Yarrowia lipolytica: one gene and its partners. The protein of the gene in region 2 purifies or fractionates together with the protein of the main gene of each other region. This does not show direct contact. Links are inferred from orthologs where the notes say so. Each region holds a gene or a part of one and is shown on either strand. Other genes may lie near its edges. The genes, in order: YALI1_A00746g, YALI1_F32792g, YALI1_A00325g and YALI1_C12900g.

What was found.
Region 1: the proteins of YALI1_F32792g (region 2) and YALI1_A00746g purify together in Saccharomyces cerevisiae (affinity purification with mass spectrometry; 3 studies listed by BioGRID). This does not show direct contact. The link is inferred for Yarrowia lipolytica from reciprocal best matches to the Saccharomyces cerevisiae genes RPL25 and ZUO1.
Region 3: the proteins of YALI1_F32792g (region 2) and YALI1_A00325g purify together in Saccharomyces cerevisiae (affinity purification with mass spectrometry; 3 studies listed by BioGRID, with this or other methods). This does not show direct contact. The link is inferred for Yarrowia lipolytica from reciprocal best matches to the Saccharomyces cerevisiae genes RPL25 and RBG1.
Region 4: the proteins of YALI1_F32792g (region 2) and YALI1_C12900g purify together in Saccharomyces cerevisiae (affinity purification with mass spectrometry; 4 studies listed by BioGRID). This does not show direct contact. The link is inferred for Yarrowia lipolytica from reciprocal best matches to the Saccharomyces cerevisiae genes RPL25 and STM1.

What each region holds. Positions count from the first base shown.
Region 1 is NC_090770.1:72,094-76,583, forward strand, and holds YALI1_A00746g (uncharacterized protein), read right to left. Parts: upstream 2,581-4,490; coding exon 1,291-2,580; downstream 1-1,290. Other genes in the region: YALI1_A00789g (uncharacterized protein), read right to left, coding at 3,294-4,490. UniProt on the Saccharomyces cerevisiae protein: Component of the ribosome-associated complex (RAC), a heterodimeric chaperone complex involved in regulation of accurate translation termination and in folding or maintaining nascent polypeptides in a folding-competent state.
Region 2 is NC_090775.1:3,277,878-3,281,452, reverse strand, and holds YALI1_F32792g (60S ribosomal protein uL23), read left to right. Parts: upstream 1-2,221; coding exon 2,222-2,647; downstream 2,648-3,575. Other genes in the region: YALI1_F32816g (uncharacterized protein), read left to right, coding at 1-17. UniProt on the Saccharomyces cerevisiae protein: Component of the ribosome, a large ribonucleoprotein complex responsible for the synthesis of proteins in the cell.
Region 3 is NC_090770.1:30,296-34,800, forward strand, and holds YALI1_A00325g (uncharacterized protein), read left to right. Parts: upstream 1-2,303; coding exon 2,304-3,410; downstream 3,411-4,505. Other genes in the region: YALI1_A00309g (uncharacterized protein), read right to left, coding at 1-653. UniProt on the Saccharomyces cerevisiae protein: Involved in ribosomal function.
Region 4 is NC_090772.1:1,288,272-1,293,107, forward strand, and holds YALI1_C12900g (uncharacterized protein), read right to left. Parts: upstream 2,778-4,836; coding exon 2,763-2,777; intron 1,809-2,762; coding exon 1,014-1,808; downstream 1-1,013. Other genes in the region: YALI1_C12883g (uncharacterized protein), read right to left, coding at 1-88. UniProt on the Saccharomyces cerevisiae protein: Ribosome preservation factor that protect a small pool of nontranslating, vacant ribosomes in cells under nutrient starvation conditions.

The DNA of each region.
Region 1 (4,490 bases), on a different chromosome or scaffold from region 2:
GGCGGTGCTGTGTAACCTAAGCTGGTGCTCTGTGTCTGGAAAGGGGGGTGTTGCAACGCTCGGTGTCACGAAATGTCTTCTCGAAACTCCAGAAGACCGCATTGGGCCGAAATACTGGGCGGTAAACCTTTTTATGGCGCTAAAAGTTCCGCTTCTCAGCATTCCGAGGTTCCCGTGCCCCCCTGGATGTCATCTCTCAGGTCGACTGGCATTCTTTGCATTCTTTCAGCCGCTTTGGAGAGTCGTAGGGTGCGGTTAGTGGAGAAGAATGTCCACTGTATCGTCGATGGATCGAAACCTGTACTTGTACAACTATATGATAGAATAAATCGATAGATGACATATTGCCAATAAAAAGTACTAGCTGATCATCTTATCAGTCTTGCAACTCGATTTTCCTGTGGAAGATCTGATGGAACGTACGGTACAGTTTCTTCAAACGATTAAATACTTGGTATTAGTTGTGAACTCTTCTTATAGTTAGAACTGTGCGTTAAGGGTGAACTGATCTCCCATTAAAACAGTTGAGCCAGCTAAGTACTGATAACAAACAACGTACTGTCCTTGCAACACATGTAGTCACACCATCCAGAGATGGCACTAAAGGATACGCTGTCACGCCACGCAGAGATTGAACTAAAAGATACACTGCCACTTTGTACACCCAATGTCATCAAGAACCCCCTTTGACACATGCTTATGCTAATGTACCGGATGTACTTGACATTCTTTAGATCAGTCCAGCGCTCACAGGTGCTTGCCATGAATAGCCGTATTAGTGGGTAGAAACATAACAGTCTCTGAATATCCTCCACGTTCTCAACTCCCCGTCTCTGAACTCCCCGTCTCTGAACTCCACGTATCTGAACTCCACGTATCTATCTAAAGTGCCCTTCTTGTAGATCTTCCAGCAGCGGTTGCATGTCAGAGTGGAGACCAATAGAATGATGGACCTGCTAAACCGCAGTCACATCCAAGAAGTAGGACCGGTAGGTGGTCACAAAGACTCAAACAAGCCCGTAAAGATCTCAATTGGTCCGTCCTGAGTATCCAGTATAAGCATCACACGTGCATCCACATTTCTTGTACTGATACTCAACACCTACACCCCTGGTTTGACACAACAGCACTTGACCAGTCTGAGATCCTCCCATAAAGTCCCTTTGGTCGATCATCTACATCTGTTTGTGCTTTACACATGTATCCAAGTCAGTGACAGTACTCTAGATCTATTCTACTTGTATGAACTATAGATTAGGCGGGGTGGATCCTGCCCTAGGTCAGAACTACCTAAGAGAAGTAGGCATAGTCACCTCCGGCCTTAGCGGCGGCCTCAGTGATGGTAGCCTTGGCCTTGGCGGCATCAGCACCGTCAAGAGCAGCAGCAAGATCACCGAGAGCAAGGTCGTCAATTCGGTTGAGCAGAGCATCGAGATCGATGTCAATATCGGCAGACTTGGCCTCGTCGCCGAAGTAGCCGTTGTCCTTGGCGGCGTTTCGCACAGCTCGCTTGTTCTTCTTCTTGGCGGACTTGGCAGCCTCCTTGGACTTCTTGGCGTTCTCCTTGTTGGCGGCAGCCTCCTCAGCCTCCTTCTTGGCCTTGGCAGCAGCCTCCTCGGCCTCCTTTGCGGCCTTAGCAGCGGCCTCTCGGGCACCGGCCTCCTTCTCCCACTTCTTGGCCTCCTTGGCCTTCTTGTCGGCCTCCTTGAACATCTTGATTCGGGGATCGAGGGACAGAGCAAGGTCAACGGCCTCTCGGAATCGGGCAGTGTCCTCGGTCTTGTGCTTCTGTCGCTGGGCCTTGTTCTTCTTCTCAATGTATCGCTTGTGGTCTCGGTTGGAAGAGTCATCGGGAACATCCTCGTCGAGGTACTCAAAGGTTCTCCACGAGTCGAAGGAGTACATGGCGGCGTAGAAGCCCTCCACCTCGGCCTTGGAAGACTCCATGGTACCAAGAGAAGGACAGGGCTGGGTCTTGGAGAATCGGATCTCGGAGTCGAAGAAGGGACCCCACAGCTCGATGAAGTTCTCGGCGGTGGTCTCCTTCTTGGTGGGCTGCTCCACATTGGCAGCCTCGTCGACGGAGTCGTACTGTCGTCGTCGGTTGGAGTCCATCAGAACCTCAAACGCCTTCTGGATACACTTGAAGAAGTCGTCCTCGTCGAGCTTGGAGCCGGAGGCGGCCTTCTTATCGGGGTGATGCTTGAGCACTCGCTTTCGGTGGGCCCGTCGGATCTGGTCCTCAGTAGCTCGGTGTCGAAGGTGAGAGATACCCAGAACTCTGTAATGGTCCTGAGACTTCCAGTCCTTGGCCTCTCGCTCGAGATCCTCAATGTCTTCAGGCTCGTCGCCGAGATCGGCGTCCTCATCCTCGCCCTCGACCTGCTTGACGTTCTTGGCGGCCTCCTCCTTCTCGTCCTCAGACCAAGTTCGGCCTCGCAGAGTTCGTCGCGCATGGGCCAGGAACCCGGGTCCAACGGGCTCAATCTGTCGCTTGACAGGAGAGGTGAAGGCGGAGTGGGCAACAAAGCCCTCGGAGTTGGCAGAAGCCCATCCGGAAGGAAGAGTAGGCAGAGACATGGTGTTGTTGTGCTGGTGTGAAGGAGAGAGTTGGTAAGGGTAAAAGTTTTACCAAAATGTCAGATTAAGGTTTTTTCAATCTTATTAAGCAACGGGGCCTGAAAACTGCTGCTGTAGAGAAGTGAGACTAGTATGTCGTTGTGTAGTCAGATTAGGAGCTCTTTTTGGGCTATTGTGACTTACTCATTCATTTTTTGCCGTTCTACGTGCCATTTCACGTCACATGATCGTTTCTGGCTACTTTGAATGCCTTCCCCCACACTCCCAGACTGCACCCTAACTCACACTACCAATACAGTCCTGAAAAAAATATCCGACAGACTTGAATATGTCATGCTACTTCTCACAAACTTCACATTGGAGACATCCTACAGTCCAGTTGAGAGATACGCTAGGGGGCGTTTCACTTTCAATCCAAGGTACAATACAGTAGAAACAATACCTCTATAAGTAGAACGGATATTTACTGATATGATTCGAATCAGAGTGAGCCCCTGGGCCGTTTGGTGATCTTGATACTTGTTCTCTCCTATACGCACTCTCTTATCACTTAAATAATAATTACCATAAACATATACAAAACCCATTCTTTTCATAAGTAGGTCCCCTTGGACCAGTCCTGCTTAATGTGCAGGCCAAACCACTGAGTTCAGACTTCACCACTAGCTGCGCGCGCCATTCGCTTCGCCCGTTACTCGCTTAGCACTCGTCATCTAGGCCTTCTGTCCATCAACAAACGTCAGCGCATCCTCCCGAGTAATACTCTTCACCGTAGAAATCTTGTTGTTGAATAAGACTCCGTAAAACTTGTCAGCCACGTGAATCATCTCATTTCGGAACGTGGTGCAAATGAACTGTGTAGGCTGAGGAGCGTTGGCAATCTGGGAAATCACCTGCGCCACAGCAGTTCGATACTGATCGTCAAGATTAGCGTCAATCTCGTCAAACAGGTAAAAGGGGGCAGGATCGGACCGCTGGATGGCGAAAATGAGCGCCAACGCACACAGCGACTTTTGACCTCCCGACAGCTGCTCCACTCGCTGCTGCTCGTTCTCCGTCGAGTTGAACGACACGTTGATCGCCACTCCAGTGTACGAGTCAGGGTTCTGGTCGTCCAGAGCCCGTCGCTCGATCACCAGCTGACCCTTTCCTCGAGGCACAAGCTGTTGGAACACCTCGGAGAATTCCTTGGACACTTGCTGGAACGTTCGCTTGATTGCTCGGTCCTTCTGGTCGTTAAGAGTGGAAATTAGCTCCTCAATGGACTCTGCAGACTCCATGAGGTTCTGTCGACGTGAAAGAAGTCGATCTCGGTCCTTGCTAAACGTCGCAAATTGCTCCAGAGCTTTCCGATTGACGTGGCCAAACTTCTTGAGCTCGTCAGACACCTCTCTGAACTCCTGCATCATGTCGCCGTCGCTCTGGGCAGACACATCGAGGAAAGCATCGTCGGGCAGAATACCAATCTCTCGAATCTTGGCCTGCACATGCTCTCGTCGCTGTTCAAGGGCCTGTCGCTTGGCTGCAACTCGCTCGGCAGCCTTTGCAAACTTGGACAGCTTTCGCAGACTCTGGGCCTGCTCATCCTTGAGCTCGGCGAGGTGAGCCTCGTCGTTTGCCACCTGCTGCTCCGCGGTCTCCAGTGCTTTCTCAGTCGACAATTGCTTGCTGGCAGCCTCCGACAACTGCTCCTCCATCTGAGCAAGCTTGCGGGTAAGCGTGGCAGCCTTCTCGGCCAGCTCGGCAGCATCAAAGTCGCCGTTGTGTTGCAGCTCCATGTCGTCTCGAGACAGGTACAAGTTCTGCTGTAGCTCGTTCTCGAGACTCAGACGGGTCATTTCCAGAGCAGACACCTTCTGTTGAAGCTCGGCGACCGAGGCAGACAGGCCAGGAAGAGTCTCGCAGACCCG
Region 2 (3,575 bases):
GATCGGAACGACTTTGACAAGTGCATGTTGGGGAGGCGAGTGGGGACGCTGTTGTGCCATCATTACTATTTTTACATTTCCAGATCTGAGCGTTTTTAATTTTTTGTGATTTTCGTATGTTTGAATGTCGCCAAATAGGATATGTAGATATGGCACATCGATCTGCCAAGAATGCCGAGGCACGGCAGCTATTTGTAGCCTTCTGGGACCCTAATCAGCGTATGTAATGGCTCAAATGGACCCATATTAAACATAAACTGACTTTGAATAGTGCGATTTGTTCGCTACTCATGTGGGATGGACACGAGAGATACGAGATGTGAAAACATCGTAGTGGCAGAAAGTGAAAGTATCGACATGAGGTGTATAATAATAGGTACTATTGGTTGTATAGCAGGTATAAATGGTGGTCCAGCTGTTAACTATTCATTAGAAGGGAGTTTGTGTATCTCGATGTGGTGAATGAGACACCACGGACCCACTCTTGATTCATTTGTCACAACCATTTGGGACATCATCTCCGCTTAAGTCCGGGATGACATTGGGTCCAGAAAAAAAACAGCTCCCACGGCTCTTGGGACTGTCTAAGAGTTACCCCATCAGTAGATTATATTCATCTTTTGTCTGAAAAAAATGACAGAGATAATCTATATTTCAGCAGCCGATGTCAGTTCCCTTACGTGGTGGTGTGTCGCTACTGGATGAGGGGTCTGCATTGTTGTAAGAGCTGCTCGTCACATGGAAAGGAAGTATGGGAAGTCATTCATCCTTCTGTTCGATTTCTTCAATACGTACAAGAGATCGATCAAGTCGTGTCAAGTTGCTATCGTCCTGGATGAAGTTGTGGGTTTAATCTGGAAGCATTCTGATGATGGACAGTCGAAAAGTTCAAGTATTGAGTAATGCTTTGACAATATGTGGATCACAATCTGTGGATGCCCGTCATGTTTGTGGAAAAATGACTTATCATTTTCCTGCGACTTCAGCATGATATGACCACTCTCAAGGGAAACATTTCAACCTTTGCTCATGCTATACCAAGTCCAAACAGCACACATACCAAGAGAACGGTGAAAGTGTCGCTTTGGAGTACAAGTACCACTCATTGACTTTTTCATGCCTGTAGTTGTACAATGCTCCAGCAAGTGAGATAGTTCCCTCTAGTACTTACACTGACCCACGAAGCCCGTTATTCGTCAGGATTGTGACCTTTTCACACCGCACATTCCAACTACTTCCGGACAAGAAGGCGACTGGTCAGTATGCCCCAAAAGACCATTCCACAAAATACCAGTATATAGGGAGAAGCCCATGAAACACATCCATTCTCTCCATCTCCATGTATTATTCAGTCCCCAACTCGCAGAAAAAAATTACAGTCACGTGTTCCCAATGTGGACATACATTCGATCCCATGGGCTTCAACCGCCACTTTCGCACCTCTGGATGCAAGAAGCCCCACATCACCATTGTCAACAGAGCAACGGTAGAAGCCCGAATGATGGCCGATAGATACGAATTTCATTAGTAATGAACTTGAATAGTGTATCTGCGTGGCGGGCCTTATACCTGTGCTTTTATTCCACAATGTTCAGTGAGATATTAACCTGCAGTACATCCGCGGTTAAATAAGTTTAGTTGGGAGTACTTGTTGTATGTCAACAGACGACCTACTGACTCTGTATTGTAGGGCAACAGTTCGCACAAGTAGACGTTTAGCACATTAATCTTCGAAGTAATGCTTTATCACGTGACATAATCTGCAAAAAGTCATATGACGCTCCTGGGCAATAACATGCAACAAGTCCGGAGAATAAGGCCCATTATTTAGTGCATGGCGATCTTCGAACGCGCACTTCTATAGCTCCATCCATCCATCCCATCACCAAGTCCAAACTCCGTCTACCAATAAGGGTTTAAGGTTCGTCCTTTTTGGGGTCATCTATCCACGTGACCTATTTTAGACGACCCTAAATATAGCTCTAGAAATCGTCATTATGGTTGAATGTTTCTGTCCACATGCCACTACAAGACAAATATTTACCTGGTAATAATTCCCCTACCACATCTTCCGCTCCCACACAGAGTTACCCTGCCTTTAGTCTAGGGTTAGCCCTAAAGACAGTCACAGGCTAACCTAAAGCGGTGCCAAACTTTTCACTACATCAAATCCGCCGGCTCAAAAATCTTAGTTCCTCAGCTCACACTCACGACATCAACAATGGCCGCCACTCAAGCTCAGAACGCCAAGAAGGCTGCCCTCAAGGGTACCAACGGCTCCAAGACCCTCAAGTACCGATCCTCCACCATCTTCCGACGACCCAAGGTCCTTGAGCTCCCCAAGAAGCCCCTGTACCAGCGAAAGGCCGTTGCTCACTACCCCCGAATGGACTCTTACGATGTCATCATCTCTCCCCTTAACACTGAGACTGCCATGAAGAAGATCGAGGACTCCAACACCCTTGTCTTCATTGTCAACAAGAAGGCCAACAAGTACCAGATCCGAGATGCTATCAAGAAGCTCTACGAGGTCGAGATTGCCTCTGTCAACACCCTCATCCGACCCGACGGTAAGAAGAAGGCTTTCGTCCGACTCACCGCCGACCACGATGCTCTTGACATTGCCAACAAGATCGGTTACATCTAAACAACTCTTTTATTAGGGAAGTTACAAAAGGCATTTAGCCATCTCAAAAGGTGTCATTTAGAAAATGCACTAATGAACACATTTGCGAGCAATCGATATTATTTATTGAACGCGAGCCGACGAAGAGGTAGCTCCTCATGCGTCAACTCAACCGTAGCCCCCGTAGCGGAGGTGTGTCCGTGTATTATTGAATATTGAAAACTTTTTCGAGAATCCAAGCTATCATCTCCAGATGCTTTCTCGACCAACGATGGTTTAACTTCCAAAAGAACTTTCAGTTCGAGTTTTACACAATTTCCACCGTCGACGACAGCCATGCGAAACCCTGACGAACCCTGACGAAACCCGTTCAGGCATCCAGTCGAACTGGTCTATAATCTGTCATCTGCCTCGTTAACTAATGTTTGTCAAGCTCACTGCCCGACACCATACATGTGACAACACGATGTCACGGCGATCTTCTCCTCTCTGCTATACGAGTACTTGCACTCCATGTGAACGAGATCAGCCGTGTGCCAAGATCATGTGATTATGGAGAGTACGTTCGGCACTTCTTGGTACTGTACAGTATATTCCCATTGCGTAGCTAAAATATCTATACAAGCTAACTAAGCCAACTCGCCCAATGCGTGTCATTTCTCTCTCTAGATGCATTCTAAGGAGACAATGATAAAGAAGTCGTACCTTTACTAATTCCAGATAAAAGGTACAAGACATGAGTCTAGAGTGTCTGGGACACATGAAAGACAGTGGATTCCAACTTACCACATCTTCAGGTGACAAGTACGAGTTGACCACGGATGTCGTGCATCCACCTGTAAATGCTGCTGAACATAACTGTCACAATATGATTGAGCAACCCAACTTCAATTGTGAACATTTCTACATTGAGTCTCCCTTTTTGTGCCTCCTCCGAATTACACACTCG
Region 3 (4,505 bases), on a different chromosome or scaffold from region 2:
GTGGTGGTCCAGGCCAGCAACTTGACCTCGGGCTCATCCACCAGAGGGAAGGCGACGACCACCGCGGGATCCAGCACCTCCTTGTAGTTCTGAGCAGCCTCAAAGTTGGCAATGGGCGTGCACAGAGCGGTGGAGTAGGGCATGACTCGATGGCCCCGGTAGACAGCGTCCTTCTTGTACAGCTCCTGAAACACCCACCAAACCGACTCCATGAACGACGTCTGCAGCGTCTTGTAGTCGTTGTCAAAGTCGATCCATCGACCCAGCCGACCAATCGTCTTGCGCCACTCCCCAGCATATCGCATCACAATGGCTCGACACTCCTCGTTGTAGTTGGCCAGACCAAACTTCATCACGTCTTCCTTGCCCTTGATATCCAGCTTCTTGTCAATCTCGTGTTCCACAGGAAGCCCATGCGTGTCCCAGCCAAACCGTCGCTCCACATGATGCCCAGTCATATGGGCATATCGTGGCACAATGTCCTTGATGGTCGACGCCAAAATGTGGCCATAGTGCGGAGTGCCAGTGGCAAACGGAGGCCCATCGTAGAAGGTGAAATGGGGCTTGTCAGCATTGAGCTTGAGTGACGTCTGGAAGGCATCAATCTCCTCCCAGAACTTGAGCACCGCTTCTTCCTCCTTGGAGAAATTCATTGTGTTTGTGTCGGTGAATCCGAGTGGGTGTTGCTAGGGTAGATTTAATGCAAAATTTCACAGGTTAGGGCTCGTTGGTTTATGGTAGGTGACTCACTGTCACGTGAATTGGAGACAAGAAAATGAAGAAAATGAAAACAAAACAAAACTCTGACATATTATTACCGGGAGGGAAATCACAATTTTTGCCCCCTTTTTATCCCAGAATTTCCAACATTTTTCCTTGGCTTTTTTCTTCACTTTTTTCATCGATTTTTTCACAAATTTTTCATCCGGTGTTTTTCCAGACTTTTTTTTTAATCTTTTTTTCCCCCGAATTTCTGCCGGGGAAAATCATGTTTTTCGAGTGGATTTCTTCATCATTTATTTATCACTCATTATATAAACACGCAATAACTGCAGTAGTCGAAGATAAATTAAAATAATAAAAAATAAAAAAGCCCGAAATACTGATATTCGTTGTGGTGGTTTTTTTTGTTTTTTTTTTTTCCAATTTTCGGTATATCCCATCTTTATTTTTCCCGTTTAATTCCATGACTGAATGTGACTCAATCGAAATTCCAGTTGACTCTTCGCCTGGTCACGTGACTCGACATTCGTCTCCGAAAAAATGACTCATCCGACATCGCAGGGCTTCCCCGTTCCCCTGACCTGGTCTGCACCCGACGAAATCAGCCCCGGAGGAGATCAGAGATTAAGAGTGTGTCGCAGAGGTTATGACTAAATTTTGGGACTACAGTACCTCAACACCAACTAACCAGTGTCGCAGAAATGGCCACCATGTCCGTCTCCAGTCTGTCCCCAATTCCCTGTAAAATATGCCATTCTAAACCTCTTAATGTTCAGATTACGGCAAACTCATCTCCTTAGGTTATGAATAGCAAGCAGTGTAAAATGATATACAGATTATGACGGGTAATAATTATCACCTGACAATCTGTCCGTCAAGTACTTGTACAAGTATAGCACCTCTGGTTCTATTTTGCGGATCCCCCTTTTTCCATGTCCAAATCTAGCCAACCTTTGTCATTTAATTATACACTCAAAATCAGGTCGATATGTGCTCTAATATATTTATTTTAAAAAGGGGGAAAAAACAGAAATAAAAAGAAGGAATAAAAGAAGAATTAAAAGGGTCTACAAAGTAAAGCCGGGAGACATAAAAACCAGATGACCTTTTTGTTTTTGCGATACATTTTCTACAAATCACATCAACCTACACACGTGATTTAGAGATATTCATAGTACCAAACCCTAATACAGATACTTCAACTTTTAACCCCAGCCCTACAGTAGAAAGATACCCGAAACGTAGCAACCCAACGATTTTATTATATTCACATAATACAGAAAGCTATATATGGGAGGTTGAGATTCTTTTTTCCCATAATGACATGTGTTTGATTGTGCCCGTGCCCATTCTTCAACGACATTCAGTCTTGAAGTGGAAACCCCAACCCCCCAAACCACCTAACCCTGCCCTAAACCCAACAACCCTAAACCGAGTAAACTGTAATTTATTACTAGCCACGCCGGGTAACTCACGTGATCTCAAATTTTCACTTTATGGATACAGAGCAAACCTCAAAGATAAGCGATTGATTTGCACTCAACCATTCACTCCTTTACAACTGCACAAAAAAAAACAAAATGTCGACAACGGTGGAAAAGATCAAAAACATCGAGGAGGAGATGGCTCGGACCCAGAAGAACAAGGCGACTTCGTTCCATCTGGGTCAGCTGAAGGCCAAGTTGGCCAAGTTGAAGCGAGAGCTGTTGACTCCCACTTCCTCTGGAGGTGGTGGCGGAGGCGCTGGGTTCGATGTGGCTCGAACTGGTGTTGCTTCGGTTGGATTTATCGGGTTTCCTTCGGTTGGAAAGTCGACTTTACTGTCCAAGTTGACTGGTACTCATTCAGAGGCAGCGGCGTATGAGTTCACCACGCTGACCACTGTTCCCGGAGTGATTATGTATCGTGGTGCCAAGATCCAGATGCTGGATCTTCCTGGAATTATCGAGGGAGCCAAGGATGGTAAGGGTCGAGGTCGACAGGTGATTGCGGTGGCTCGAACGTGCAACCTGATTTTTGTGGTGCTGGATGTGAACAAGCCGCTGGAGCACAAAAAGATCATTGAGCGGGAGCTGGAGGGATTTGGTATTCGAATCAATAAGGAGCCTCCTAACATTTTGTTCAAGAAGAAGGAGCGGGGTGGAATCAACATCACCAACACGGTTCCTCTGACCCATTTGGACAATGACGAGATTCGGGCGGTGATGGGCGAGTATCGAATCAATTCTGCTGACATCCATTTCCGATGCGATGCCACTGTCGACGAGCTCATTGACATTCTCGAGGCGCAGAACCGACGCTACATTTCGGTCATTTATTGTCTCAACAAGATTGACAGCATTTCCATTGAGGAGTTGGATCTGCTTTACCGAATCCCTAACGCGGTGCCCATTTCGTCGGAGCATGGCTGGAACCTGGACGAGCTGCTGGAGGAAATGTGGAAGAAACTCAACCTCGTTCGGGTCTACACCAAGCCCAAGGGCCAGCAGCCCGACTACGAGCAGCCCATCATTCTGCGGAATGGTCGGTCGACCGTCCAGCATTTCTGTAACCAGATCCACAAGAGTCTGGTTGAGGAGTTTAAGACGGCATGTGTCTACGGTCAGTCGGTCAAGCACCAGCCCCAGTATGTTGGTTTGGCCCATGAGTTGATGGACGAGGATGTTGTCACTATTCTGAAGAGATAGTCTGGATCCTGGCAAACACTGAGCAGTCAGCACAAGAAAAGAGGAGGTGAAGATGAAGATGAGAAGGATCCGACCGGACAGACCAAAAAAGAGATTGGGATAGATCTCAAAGAGACCGGGATGGACCGAAACAGACTGGGATGGACCGGAAGAGACCGGGTCAGAGCTCCAGACATCAGGACAGAGCTCCGGACACTGACAACCCTCCATACCCGGTCTCAGCGGTGTCCTGATGGACACACAGCTAACGCTCACCAGAGTAGTGAATATATCATGATAGGATATACATACAGTACTGTAGAGAGAAGGGTGAATGTAGGTAGTAGTGGCAAAATTCTAGCTACAACACATCTCTGGTGCATTGGTTCTGTGATGAATCAGTCATGACGACCACCAGTAGACAGTCATCGTTGGTACACAGACTCCACTGTCAATGTGTTGAAATGACGACGATTCAAACGTCTCCAACATGTGCGTACAGTACCAAAAGCATTGAAGGAAAGCGTTGTCTCATTTCAACCAAGTCCACACTTGCGAGACACCTTTATCACTCGGGAGCTCAGGCCCCTCATCCAGGCGAGACGTGGTTGGATGAGGGACAAGCATACACTCTGATAAAGGAGTCATCAGGCAGCCAAAGGGACGTTTCCAGCCAAAGGGGCGTTTCCGGCCATTGTCGAGGACCCAAGGTGCAGAAAGACCAGCAATATGTCCAGAGGGAACACCAGAACCATGTTGAGTGAGTTTGGGTCATATCTCGGACGAGGAATTGTCGCTTTGATTAGTGAGAAGGGCGGCGGGGCTGCTGAGTCATCCACCGAGATGACAACTGAATGCTTTGGAGGGATGGACTGTCGGTTGAATAATCATATGTCTGCTCGCTCCATCTGCTGTTGACTTGGTATCAGCACACCAGGACTCTCGGTCAAGAGAACAGGTGACACACGATCCAAACCTGATCCAGATCCAGCTTGTTTCGTCTGAGCATGAACGTCTGCGAAGACCGTCCTTGAGCAAAGCGTTTGTGCCCAACTCGCCAAACCGCGAGAGCAAGAGCCAGTCCGAGCAGCAACATGCCAGAACTACAGCCGCCAG
Region 4 (4,836 bases), on a different chromosome or scaffold from region 2:
CGTCCTTCACCTCAACTAGAGTGTCTTTGGAGCCCGCCGTCTGGTCTCCAACATTCAGTTCGTCAATTGCTTTGGTAACGTGGTCCATGGTGTCGAACCGTACTGGAAAAGGGCCTTCTTTCGGGTACAAGTAGTGGTAGAAAGCTGGCCCGTATCCCAACATTTATTAGTGCGGTGTCTCAGCCGCATCACTCCATGCATACAAAATGCGGGGGAGAGCACCCTATTTGGGCACACGAGGCGCAACATAGCTGGGTGATGGAGTGAAGATGAAGTATCATTTGTGGCCTAATTTCAAAGCTCTGATCAACGCCGACATTTTGCAACTTTCAGAATTCCTTTCTCTCAACTACTGACAGACTTAGCAGGCCTGAGTGATGCAGCCATGGTGAAAAAGTGAAAAACACGAACCAGTAAAATAGAGCGCTGGAATGGATAACCAAGTCCGTCCAACACGTGTAATTGTACAATACTTGTGCTTGTACCATTAATGACGGACTTTTCCAGCATCTCTGTCGCTCTCGTCAATGGGCTTCGTATAATTGCAGTCATAGAACTGACACCATATAGAGCCACTTACTGTGGTTAAAATGCTCCACTCACTCTCTCACTCTCTCCAACTCACCCAATGATGGCCCGATCAGAAAAAGGAAACAACCATCACACTCCTCTCGTTGCACAGATGACTCTCCCATTTCCCGCTTCCATCTACCACCAATATTCGCAGCACAATGGCCCCCTTACTCCTGTCCTATGAACTCAATCCTCGGGTTGGTTATGCTTATAATTAACATTATCAAAATATCTCAATACAATCACTACAAGTACGCACCATGATGCTACAAACTACCGGCTTCATACTCATGTACAGGGCAACAACCACGGCTATGGTCATGGTCGGTTGCAGTTTCATAATTCGCTCGATTGATTACTCATCGTTCGTTTTGTCAGCCATGCGACTGTTCATTCAAAAGACTTGATTCAAAACCTGTCAAAAGGACACGGTTGTCCGCTTAGGCGCCAAGGGCGGGGAAGTCAGAGGCGGAAGAGAGGTTGACGGAGGGAGCCTTTCGCTCCTGGGTTCGGAAACCCTTCTTGTCACCACCTCGCTTGCCGTCTCGGCCACCTCGGTTCTCTCGGGGGGCTCGGTCGGATCGGTCACCTCGAGACTCTCGGTTGGCGGGGAAGGCAGGCTCAATCTCGAGCAGAACCTTCTCCTTTCGGGCTCGGGTTCGCACGTTCTTGGCCTTGGTGCCGGCAACGAGATCGGCAACCTCGTCCTTGTCGAGCTTGGAAGCCTCGGAGTACTTGGACTCGGCGCCGGCGTTGGCCTGTCGGACAGATCGGCCGGAAGCAAGCTTGGCGGTGGCAGCCTTCTGCTCGGCAAGGTACTCCTCCAGAGTCTTGGTGTTGTCAGGCTCCTCAACAGGGGCCTCGACGGGGGTCTCGGGCTCGGCCTCGTCCTTGGTGGCGATGGCGTCACCGGCCTTCTCGTCAGCGAGCTTGCCCTTGGAGTCGCCCCATCCCTTGCCAACCTTCTTGGCAGAGTCGGACTTGCCGGTCTGGGATCGTCGGTCAGGTCGGGGGTTTCGGGCAGGCTTGCCCTTCTTCTCAGCCTGGGGCTCGGTGGACTTGGACCGGTTCTGGTCCCGCAGGGGCTGGTTGGACTTCTTGGAAGCACCGATGGCAGCGCCGGGGTCCTTGGGGGCGGCGTTCTTCTTGGAAGAGCCGGAGTTCTTGGTGAGCTCCTTGGTCACAATGACCTTGTTGGAGTCCTCCTCCACGTTGCCGAGGATTTCGTATAGGTTCTGGGTTAGCACGGAAGATGCAAGAGCGCACAAGCGGAGCGAGCGCGAGCGGGCAGTAAATGAGTCACAAACAATTCGCAACGGAGTCGCAAGGAGACGTCGCAGTCAACACAGGCAACTCGCTTGCTGCTCGTCTGCGAGTCGACTTGCAGGCAGCGGCCCCAGGCTTCCCCTCACCAAGTGGGGTAGCCAGGAAGAGACATCGCCATGTGAAGGAGGTCGACGGCGATTCGACGGCGACCTGGCAAGCTGGCAAGCTGGGCTCTGGAGATGGCCGGCTATGCTCAGCCCGGGAATCACACGGTCCGCCCACCGGTCCGAGGCGTCTGGAGAAGACCCATGGTTGGAGTGTGGTGATGCGCATGAGGAAGAGATACATGCCCGGCGAATGATGGCACTGGCCACGTAGATAGCACAAGCACTTCGGATTGGTGGGATGGTTGTGGTTGACGCTGCTGACCACTGACTACTATGGACGTAGGTCCGTCGGATCGTCTGATTGCGACATCCCCGCACCTCCATCGTTCAGTGTGAACGGGTCATTTTGGGATTGTGGTTGGTTGCGATATCATCGACGCTGCCCTTGAGGCCACGTCTCCACATTGCCCACACCACTAGGTGGACATGGGGCCGTTGGGTGCAATGATCTGACAACACCAAATGTGCATCTCCACCGACCCAAACAGCACCAACACAAGCCAAGCAGCCAAAAACACAATCGACCCCGTAATCAACAAACCCCTTGACGCCATCCATCATCAGCTTCTCCTCCGTCACACCTGCGACACCACATCCCACATCTCTGCCACGTGCCCCACGGGACACCTCCACCCATGTCAGTCACACATGACCCACATGTGGGGTTGGATGATCCTCGGTGTTTGGCCGCTGGGGCGTGGCCGCCGGGTCCCGCTTTCACGGCCCCCCCAACCCCTCTTGTCTTCAAATACTCACCTTGGAGACAGACATGTTAGCAGCCCTCTATTATCCTCGTGTTTGGACACTTAAAATTTGGAGCAACAGCAAAGTGAAAATTTCACCGACAAGTGTGAGTGGGTTGGCGCTGGCCCAATGGGGGAAGGTAGGGTAAGAGGAGGTGACGTAGGGTAAGTCCCGTGATGCGATCCCCCTCACGAGCGGGGGGCCCAGTCCTAGCCCGACGTGATGCCTCCGACCAAAGCGGCCACGGAGAATCGATTGGCCCTCTCAGATTGGTCACTAGACCGCTCCCTGGGCCCCTTTGGAACCTGTCTCCGCACCTCTTGGGACCTGGGTGTACTTTAGTCTACAAACCTAAGGCTCCAAAGTTTGCTGTGAGGAGTATGCAGGTGCGATAGAGGCAGGTGTAACCAGCCGGTGGAGTGGCAAGGAGAGATTGGAGAGAGTCACGTGACAAGGACGTTGAGTGGGCCGGCAGAGACGTTTTTTTATTATTTTTTTGTCCTTTTTTGAGAGTGTTTTGGTCTTGGTTGGTCTTGGTTGGTCATGGTTTTGGCTTGGTCTTTTCAGCTTGGCTGTATCGCCTGATCTGTCTGCTAGAAGTATGATCAACAGTAATCAGTGCACGAGGAGGGGAGGAGGACAGAGGGAGGACAGAGGGGCAGAGAGGACGGAGGAGAGAGAGGGGGGAGGACTCTCGATAGAAGGGACGAGAAGGATGTCGTAAATTGTCAGTCGGACGGATTTAACGGGTACTGTGTGTACTTATCTTGTATATTCCGTTTATCCTGGTCAGCTCTGGAACTTTTCAGCATACTGAACTGTCCTCTCCAAACTACAGTACGACGACCGTACACCAGCGGCTGTCACTACTACTGTACTGTACATACTGTACTTGTGGCCATCTGGTGTCACTACTTGCGGCCATGGTCGTCCTGAAAGATGGATGGGGCCTGATGATTGTAGGACTACTGTTATGTACTTGCAGTCCCACTTTTAGAGCAAGTCTCACTCCAAACCTACACCTTTGGAAAATGTGGGGGAGTCACTTGAAGGTTTATTGTAGTTGGTGCGTAGGCAGTTGGCCAATGGAATGGTTGGTGAGGTCAGAGGGGTGATGGGGAGGGAGTCACAGAGAGGGAGTCACGTGCCATGGAGTTGGGTGTCGATATGTTCACGTGACGCAGGACCCTCACAGCTTCCGATCCTCACAGCTTCCGATCTGGGCGGAGTTGTCTTCTCATGATTGAATTAGACCATCATCTACGGGACAGCACGGACTGTTTCCAGAGAAGTTGACTATTAGTACTTGGGTTGGCTGATTGTATAGCACCAACCAATCAAACAACCAACCAAATCAGCAACAGGACCGATAAAACGCAATCACTCAATGAGCAGCTCATGAGCCATCCTGATGAGTAAGCTGATTGGAGACAACCTTGTAGAAAGACTGTCTTCAGGTGGAATAGATGGTTTGTCAAAATGCTTCTATGCTGGTACTAGTACTCCCTCAACTTCACCAACGCGCCTGTATCATGTCACCTTGTTGTTGTCGTCAAAAAGCCGATATTATCTGTACGATAACCGACTTTGTGGCTCTCATTGGCCGTCCCCACACCCTTATCTCCGCTTCTAACGCCTAAAGAGTGAGTGCGTTATGGAGTGCGTTCGGAGGTGGTCAGGGTCCGGATCCCCATGGCGGGAGTGAGGTTATTCAGTGAGGAGATGATGAAGATGGACAAGTGGCCACCATGTATGGACGAATTCCACTCACGCAGCTTCATCGGACCCCATGAGCCCTGCTCCACACACTCACTGAAATCACATTCACAACCTGCAGAGAGACCACATATCTTTTTGCTCGCGTTTTTGCCCGTTTTTGCCCGCTTTGCCTGCGTTGCCCGCCTTGCCTGCGTTGCCCGTTTTGCTCGCTTTCCCGCCTTGCCTGCTTTGCCCGCAGCTTTGCCCGCAGTTTTTCTCGCAACTGCTTTGGAGCTCGCACAGTCCATCACCCTGGCGCATCTGCCATGCGCGACAATGTCGATTCAGGCCTTTTTTTCAGGCCAAACCTGACGACTCTGTAGCCACG